2 linked regions of the Canis lupus familiaris genome follow. The protein of the gene in region 1 interacts with the protein of each later gene in a biochemical or structural test. Links are inferred from orthologs where the notes say so. Each region holds a gene or a part of one and is shown on either strand. Other genes may lie near its edges.

Region 1 (4,447 bases):
CATAAGAAACAAACAAACCAAATCACTAGCTTAGTGCCTAATTGAGTTTGAGGTTTTGTTTTGATTTGTTTTCTAAACACTGGCCTTTATTACTGGCATTGTACTTACCAGGAAAACAGTTCCCTTGCTAAAAATGAATCACTACTATTACCAAAGTTTCTCTGTACCACTAAACACTTTTGAACAGTGATAATTTAAAAAACTCTTCCCTGCAGTATCTTAATATCATCAATGAATTACCTCCTTTACATTTTAAAACTAATAATCTTACTTTAAGAGCATTAAGCTCTTAAAATTAAACCAAGTGTGTACAAAATGCTCTCTGGTGAATACACTTAGTTTTAAACCAGTGTGCAAAAGTAAGTATAGAGGAGGCCACTCCAGAAGCAAACTTAATTCCCTTATCCAAGACCTTTGCATTAGACAGATCTCATGCCAGCCTGTCTGACTTCAGACCAAGTCTTCACCCAAAAGGGTAAAGTTCTCTTAGTCAGGAGTGCAGACATCCACTGAACCGTACAAGCTCTATCTAAATCTTTTTCTCATCTGTATCTTAAATCCCAAGACTACTCCCTTCCCCACTCACTTGGTCTCAATTAGGATGTCGGCATTGGTTGGATTCAGCACGGCTTTACATATTAGTTCTTGGGTCACTGGGATCGATTTGTTCATGGACACACAGAGGTCAGAGAGATAATCTAAGAATCTGTCGAGAAAGAGAAAGCAAACAAAACATTTTCTGTAGCCAGAGAGGAGGTTTGGCTCTTGGAGCCTGACTCTGCTAAGTGGACAGTCCATACCTTGGACAAAAGAAATCAGAGACATTTCAGGTTTGGCTGCCAGCATCTACAGCACCACCAGGAACCCAGTCACCATAAGAAAAGAAAGAAAGAGGCAGAAGAGGAAAGCGGCCATGACTGGGGCAGATGGAGAAGTGATGAGGCAAAAATGAAAAGAAGGAAGACATCCACATAAGGAAGCAGTGGATGGAGGGGGACCAGAGAAGTTAGGAAAGGCTCTGAGGCCTGAGTTGGAATCCCTGTGCTGATTCTCCTTTAGTTATGTTCTGATATGCAGTGTGACTTGGAGAAATTTCTTGACCTTGCTGTATTACACTTTTCTCATCCACAGAAGAGGATAATGTATAACCTCAGAGAACTGTCCTGAAGATTAAATAAGCTAATTCATGTCAAGTGCTGGTTTAGTTCACTCCCTGGTACATGAGAATGCTCCACAAGGCATCATTTAACTTCATGGGTGGGAGGAGTCATTTTGTAACAACACTATCAGCTCTCCAGTGTGATTGTTCACGATATCTATATTATAAGCTATTTCCTACTTCTAAAATGTTGTGGATCTTTTTTTTTATATATAAAAAATATTTATTTATTTGAGAAAGAGAGAGAAAGCACGAGCAGGGGAAAGGGCAGAGGGAGAGGGAGAAGCAGACTCCCTGTTGAGCAGGGAGCCCAATGTGGGGCTCGATCCCAGGACCCCAGGATCATGACCTGAGGTGAAGGCAGGTACTAAACCGACTGAGTCACCCAGTTGCCCCAATGTTGTGGATCTGAATCAGGAGAAGAAAAGAGGGAAGAGAGGAAGAAGGTGGGGAGATCTATGAGAATGAGAAATGATAGAATCCTAACATAAAATAAAAACACTCAAGTAACAACTAAGTTTGCAAAAAAAAACTCTTATGATATTTGGGGGAAGTGTTCTAACTGATAATCGGGGGGTACTACATGGTCACTGAGTGGCCAGTGCTATCTGCCATTGACTGAGCATCTACGAAGTACCAGGTACTTCACATGCATTTATTCTCATTCAATTTTCATAACCATCCATTTAGCATAGAAGGAAATTAAAGCTCAAGGGGAAAGTGAAGGTCACCCAGCTGGTAAATGTTAGAGCTAGGATTCCACCACAGGTCTGTTCTTTCCGCTACTCATCCAAGAGCCTCTCAAGACTGGCCTAAATGACATCTGCCTCTGGCAGCCCTCAAAAAGGAAACCCAGCCCAAAGCACCATGACTGGTTTGGTCAGACACATTCTGCCAATCAGGCCCACCTCCGCCTCACCTGGGCTCCCTGTTCTTTCGCACCAGACTGACAAATGTGTCGATCTCAGCAGCGGTGATGTGTTTTTCCAGGAGTTTTCTGTTATTGTGAAGCAGGGCAGTGATGGTGTCTTCGGCCAACACATCGTAGCCAATCTGTTTTTGCATGAAGCCAAACTGCTTGGCTATGTACTCCTTTTAAGGAAGAAAAGAAAGGTTGACAGAGAGACCAAAAAATATTAAGTTCAACCCAAAACTGAGGAAAACAGCAACAGTCCCTGATGAGAATGATTGTTTGTAAGGGAAATCCTAGTGGAGCATCTTTCCACAACTTTCTAATCTAGGATAGCAGCTGCAAACTCCCCCACATCCTTCATTTTACTAAACCTGCCACACAAATGTAATTAAGCAAATTATCCTGTATGTACAGATGGGCATTTTAGTAAGTGCACAGTATAAATATTAATGTGGTGACTTATTTTCCTAAAAGGTCAAAAGCTGTTTTTCAGCTCTGATTTTATTACTAATTCAAGAGGATTTAACTGTGCCTTGCTCCTCTATGCTGCTGAATAAATATACTTAAGCCTACCTAGCTATTTAGAACAATATTACCCCATTCTGTATTCTTTAACTGGGGTGAAAATACATTTTTATAGCCAATGGGTAGCAGAAGCAAGTTAGGAATACCTAAGCCAGTCAACCAGATTCATAGAACCTATGACAACATCTCTGGCTTCTCTCTTTGGGGATCAGACATGATGTTCCATAACAATATATGAGGAACTCAGGGAAGCCTCTTGAAGATATTGCTTCTTTCTATTCAAAAATATTTCCCTTCCCAAGACAATTTGTTTACTGAAAGTTCCAAAAGCCCTTGAAACTTGGCTTAATTTTTTAAAATTAATTCCAAAAACCTAAAAACTACTCAGAGTGTCCACAGTGGACACTGGCCACTTTTCAGCCCATGCTCAATAAGGATGCACATTTAGGAATTCACCAGCCCTCAAAGATACACTTATGCCAAGTGGCATAGAATCCATAAATAATAAGCAGAGATAGTCAATGTAGCAGCAGTAAGAGGGAATGGTTTGGTCTTTTCATGTAGAAGCAAAATGTGCTGGCACACACTACAGGCTCCAATGCATCCTTATCTGAAGATAGCAGAGAAAGAGAATAAAATCTCTTTGGCACTATTTGAGTATGGTATTGACACACCGCAGGTGAATTTAAAGCAATCAGAGCACCCAAAGACCACCTGTCCAGATTAATGAACGCAACATCATAGGTATAGGATACTTTTAATTTCAACAATACCAAAGGCAAAGTCAAAAGCTTAGCAATATTTGCTAACAACATTATATCTAATACTTTAGAGCATTGCTTAAGTTTAATACTATCTTCATGACAAAATATAAAAAACCTTAATTACAGAGAAAAGCTTAAATTTAAAGGCCAGATGTTGAGGCAGTCAAAAGTTTACAAACAAAAGCTTTTTGTAACACAACGCAGAGACTGGGAATCAAGGTTTTCATAAGCATCATCTATGCACCTACAGTACTTAGAGTAACATAGTGCAGGGCCTCTCAACCTCAGCACTACGGACTATCGGGCTGGATAACTATTTGCAGATGGGGATGTCCTGTGCATTCCTGGATATTTAGTAGCATCAGTGGCTTCTATCCACTAGGTGCCAGGAGCACCTCCAAGTTGTGACACTCAAAAGGGTCCCCTGAAATTGTCAAATACTTCCTGGGGGACAATATTAGTTCCAGCTGAGAACTACTAAATGTGTAACACAGTTCACAGGCTTCCTTAAAATACCAAAATAATGGGAAACCCCAGAGAGGTTAGAACATTTATTTCATGGGGAGAGGATAATATATATAGTGCCATGACATAGACAAGGACTTAGAATGTCATAAAATATGAGCCAAAATCAAAATAAAGTTACCAGCAGACATGTAGACTATGGAAGGGAGCAGGAAGAAAAGATTCCACTCTTCCTTTAATATAAACCCATGTAATCATTTTCCATAAGGCAATAAAAATGTAATACCAATGCCAAAAGAAAACTCTCATTGAAAGGTGGCTGCAGAAGGGAACTTCTCTGGCATCTTTCTTAAGGACTCTATCTTCTGAGGCTTGCAAAAATTTATTTCCTTTCTAAGCGTGAACTTAATAAACTAATCTCTAGTCATTAAGTAACTATAGATGTGAGACTTAAAACTCATGAGGCGAGTACATGAACTTCAGGGATGAAGCTGCCCATTACTTCCCATCCATCCCGAATACCAACCTGGTTTTTTCTGTAGTCTTGCTGGGAGTGTCTCAGGACCCTGTAGCAGAGCCGGCAGATATGTCTGAATGGGGCATGCCGCTGATCCCCAAGCT
Region 2 (4,447 bases), on another chromosome or scaffold:
TCCAGAAACCCTTCTCTTTCCAAGCTCCTTCCCCTGGTACGTGATCCAGGGCTCAGGTTTCTCTTCAAGTAACCATCCTGGAGTTGGAATCCTAACAATCACCCCACCACCACCTCTGTCTGTCCAGGGCCCATTACTCACTTCTCGGAAAGCATCTCGAAGTTCCTTCACTCCAATCATATCTGCTGTTTCCGCCAGGAGTTTAGGTCCCATTAGCTCTACAAAGTCATCAAAATCCACATGGCCACCCACTGGAGACAGAGGAAAGGGCTAGGTCATTCATCCAACTACTCCCTCATCTCTAATTAGGCAAAGGAAGGCACTGTGAACCTCTCCTTGACCTATTCAGTGCCAGGTCGAGGGTACAACCAAAGGCCAAATGAGGACAGAGAAGTGACCATGGACAGGTGGTTTATCAAAGAATGGCTCAGGGAAGGGATGCCTGGGTGGCTCAGTGGTTGAGTGTCTGTCTGCCTTTGGCTCAGGTCATGATCCCAGGGTCCTGGGATTGAGTCCCACATCAGGCTCCTTGATGATCAGGAGCTTGCTTCTCCCTTTGCCTATGTCTCTGCCTCTCTCTCTGTGTATATCATGAATAAATAAATAAAATCTTTAAAAAAAAATTTTTTTTTTCAGAGACAGAGAGACAAAGACAAACAAGCAGAAAGGTAGAGAAAGCAGAAGTTAGGAGCATCTGGCCCATATGCCCCAGGGCTTACTCTTGTCCTGCAAAAGGAGGCTCACTCCAATAAGATCCCAAAGCAGGTAGGAGTGCTGGAGCAGTGACACACACCCCACCCCTTGCTCACAACACCTTTCAGCCACTGACTGACAAAACACCTGGCTTGGAGAGGCCAGGGCTCTAACCTCAAGATGGGCACAGTACACTAACTCCCAGAGCTGCCTGGAGGAATGAGATTCTCAATACTAGTGGTGCTAGCTGGCTTGAGAGTTCACCCCCTGTGGGCTCCTTCTCTTTGTGGCCTCACTTCCCTATTCCCTGTTGACCCTTCTCTTCACCTTCCAGAGAAACTGCTTGTACCCAAATCCTTGTCTCTGCGGTCTGCTTCTAGGAGAACCCAAACTAAGCCAGAGAATAACAAAGGAGTAATGGCTTCCCTTCTGTTCAACAGCCCCTGTAGGCCACATGCAGGGCTGTGTGGCAGGTACTCCCTCGCTGACTTTCTGTGCTCCTCTCATTTCACAGATTACAGCAGAGGAAACAGGCCCAGAGACTCTAAGCAGTTTGCTCCAGGTTATAGAAGCTGGCCCAGAGCTGAAATCAGCCTGTGTGACTGCAGAGGACTGCGAGGGTAGGAATGGGAAGGGCAGGTGGTGCCCAGGGGAGGGACTCACGGTTCATGTTGATCTGTTGGGACAGCTCAATGAGCTCCATCTCAGTAGGCATGTAACCCATGGTGCGCATGCAGTTGCCCAGGTCCCGGCAGTTGATGTAGCCGTCCTTGTCCTTATCAAATTCTCGGAAGGCCTCTCGGAGCTCTGAGAGAAAGAACAAAAGTGGGCACAGCTAGACAAAAGGATAAAAGTGGGACTTGTGAAGCCTCTGGGCAGAGGCAGCCCAAGCCCCACCCCCACCCCTGTCCCTGAGCCAGAGCCTAGAACTGCCAGGACTACACTCCCCTGATCCTCAGCGCCCCACAGACAATGCCCAGCCCTGTACCAGGCCACATTCCCAGAAGGCCAAGATGTCTCTGCCTCTCTTCACACCAGTATCCCTTCCCTCACCTTCCTGGACAGCTGAGCAACCCTTTCCCCTAAGGGGCTGGGTCTTACCTTCAATCTCCTCTGGCCGCAGTGATCTGTCCTGAAACAAAAGAATGTGTCCTATTAGCAGCTGTAAGGGGCCTAGAGGTCACAAAATGCCCAGGCTGGGGACTATACGAGGGACAACGAGCACACTGGGTGGAGGGAGGGCCAGCACACATCTTTGAGGGGGAAAGGTGCAGCCCACATCTCTCATAGACACAGAAGATGCCCAGGGACCCCAGAGCCCCATTCAACCTGCGTACAGAAACTCTGTGTCCCCATTCCAGACACCAGAATGTGTCAGAGGACAGAGTTGTTCTGGAGGCAAAACCCTGTAAATAAAGTGGAGTGGACGGGTTGCTGTGGGTTACAACAGAAGGAAGGCCTGCAAGGCAATGGGGAAAGGGCTGGAGGGACAGAAAGCCAGAACTGGACAGGCTGCCAGAGAGGGAGGGAGAGGAGGAGGAGGAGGAGCCAAGGGTGTGGAGGCAGAAGTAGGGCATCGCCCACCTTCTCCCACCAGACCCTCATCCTACCTCTTGCCTGTAATGGGACACGGCCTAGGACCCTGGGGGCTGCCGGTGCTGCTGGCTGCTGCCAGGGTCCAAAGCACACATCTCCAGCTTCGCGCAGAGCCCAGGTCTCCTTGGGGACTCAAGGAAACTCTGGGTCTAGGCATCTGGACAGATGGCAGAGAAGTCTCCAGAGAGCAGGCCCAGAGGATACATGGGGTAGACTCTGGCTAGTGAGGTGCCAGTCACCCCAGGCCTTCCCAGGAGGCAGACAGATCAGCATGAAATGGATGCCCAGCCGGACCTGTTCAGTAGGCCCCAAAGCTGGCACCCACAGCACATCCTCCCCACGTATCGCAGCTCTCTGACTTCTGGCAGGTAGAATGTGGCAGGGTGTGCCCACCCTGAGTGAGCACATACCAGATGCGGGCACACCCCTCCTGAACACAGACACGCAGGCGGGCCCCAGTGAGCATGAAGCATCTCAGCTGGGCACGCTGGCTGTTCTAGCCAAGGGGTCAAGGCAGCAAGAGACAGCTTTTGCCCACCCACTGCAAGCTGGCCCCATCGCAAGAGACCCTAGCTATGAAACTCAGAATTTTCTAGAAAGGGGCTGCTGAGCAACATCTCGTGAGACAACCAGGTGCACAGGACCTCAGGCTCAGAAGTGGCTAAATGTGACAGGACAGTGTTGACAGTGTACATGAGCTGTGAATGAGCAGGCTACACACTACCCCGTTCAGCATGTGGCATTTCTAGGTGAGGGCAGGATTCACTGAAGGTATGTGTATGTCTCCGCAAGATGATGGTATGGACTTCCACCATAAAACCTGTCACCGTGTACACTGCGAGTGTTGTCACTCCATTCCTAGTCACACTTGGATCTTGGGTGGCCAAAAATAATGATTTTTGCAAAACCCTGTACCCCCAATAAGTGAAGTGAGTAAATAGGTGAGTGTATGTGTGTACATACCCGTGCAGAGTGTATTCGCTAGGACAAATCACTCAGATATGAGTCCTTTCCCACTCTTCAAGCCTCAAGCAGCCTCTCTTTCTCCAGGACCCAGCTCTACAGGATTGGAGAGGAACAGGGTGCTACCCTACTGCAGCCTCCTCCCCTTCTTGCATAGCTGGAACCAGGGAGCAGGCAAGCCAGGTACCCCTTCTCGGTGTGCCTCTGGCAAAGTCCAGGTGGCCAGCCCTTGGATCACATGCTCCCCTTGTGGAGCATTTGGGGGTATGTGTAGAAGAGCCACAGGTGCACACCAATGTGTTAGGGAAACCGTGAGCACCATCCCCAGGGGTCAGACGGGAGGAGAGTACATGCACATACTAGCACATACTGTCTCCCCAACGTATGCGGTTTGGAAGAAGAGCTCAGCCTCCAGAGCCAGACAAACTCAAGTGCAAAGCCCAGAGTTGCTCCTTCCTAGCTGTGGGACCACAGGCAGGTCACTTCAGCATTCTGAGCCATGGTGTCCTCATCATAAAATAGGTTAATACCAGCACCCATGTTACCGGGCCTTTGCGAGCATCCCATGAGACAATATCTGTAAAGTATTTAGCATGTGGCATTCAACAAGTGGAACCCTCAAATGTTTGTATCTGTAACATCATCACCCTCCTCCTGTGACTGTTCAGATATCTGAAGGAGGCTGCCGGGATATAGTAGCTGCTTGCGGCTATTTAAATTGGAATAGGAAGCAAATGAAATGAACAATTCAGGTCCTCAGTTGTACTAGCCACTCTCAAGTGCTCAATAGCCACATGTGGCTGATGGCTACTATATCGGGCAGCATGGCTTGTAGAATATTTCCATCACTATAGGAAGTTCTCCCGGACAGGCCTGTGTATTCAGAACTGCTGTTAAGAGAACAGGGAGCCTTTGCATCAGACTTCCCGGGTTTGAATCCAACCTCTACACCCACTAGCTGTGATCTTGAACATGTTTATCTCTCCAACTCAGTTTCCTTATCTGTAAATGAGAGATGATAATAGGACTTACCTCTCAGAGCTGCTCTGAGCCTGACATGAGACAATGCACCAAAGCACTTAGCACAGAGCCTCACACAGAGTAAGTGCTCAAGAAGATAAGAAAGCAAACAAAAAAACATTAGCTGCTATGTTACTTCTTGCTGGTGGAGGTGGACTCACCAGTGCTTTGCAGC

The links.
Region 2: the proteins of ITPR1 (region 1) and CABP1 form a complex in vitro, tested with the Homo sapiens proteins (2 studies listed by BioGRID). The link is inferred for Canis lupus familiaris from reciprocal best matches to the Homo sapiens genes ITPR1 and CABP1.

Annotation. Positions count from the first base shown.
Region 1 is NC_049241.1:12,983,418-12,987,864, forward strand, and holds part of ITPR1 (inositol 1,4,5-trisphosphate receptor type 1), read right to left. Parts: coding exon 4,353-4,447; intron 2,252-4,352; coding exon 2,079-2,251; intron 707-2,078; coding exon 587-706; intron 1-586. UniProt on the Homo sapiens protein: Inositol 1,4,5-trisphosphate-gated calcium channel that, upon inositol 1,4,5-trisphosphate binding, mediates calcium release from the endoplasmic reticulum (ER).
Region 2 is NC_049247.1:16,859,577-16,864,023, reverse strand, and holds part of CABP1 (calcium-binding protein 1), read right to left. Parts: intron 1,826-4,447; coding exon 1,795-1,825; intron 1,501-1,794; coding exon 1,357-1,500; intron 252-1,356; coding exon 142-251; intron 1-141. UniProt on the Homo sapiens protein: Modulates calcium-dependent activity of inositol 1,4,5-triphosphate receptors (ITPRs). Inhibits agonist-induced intracellular calcium signaling.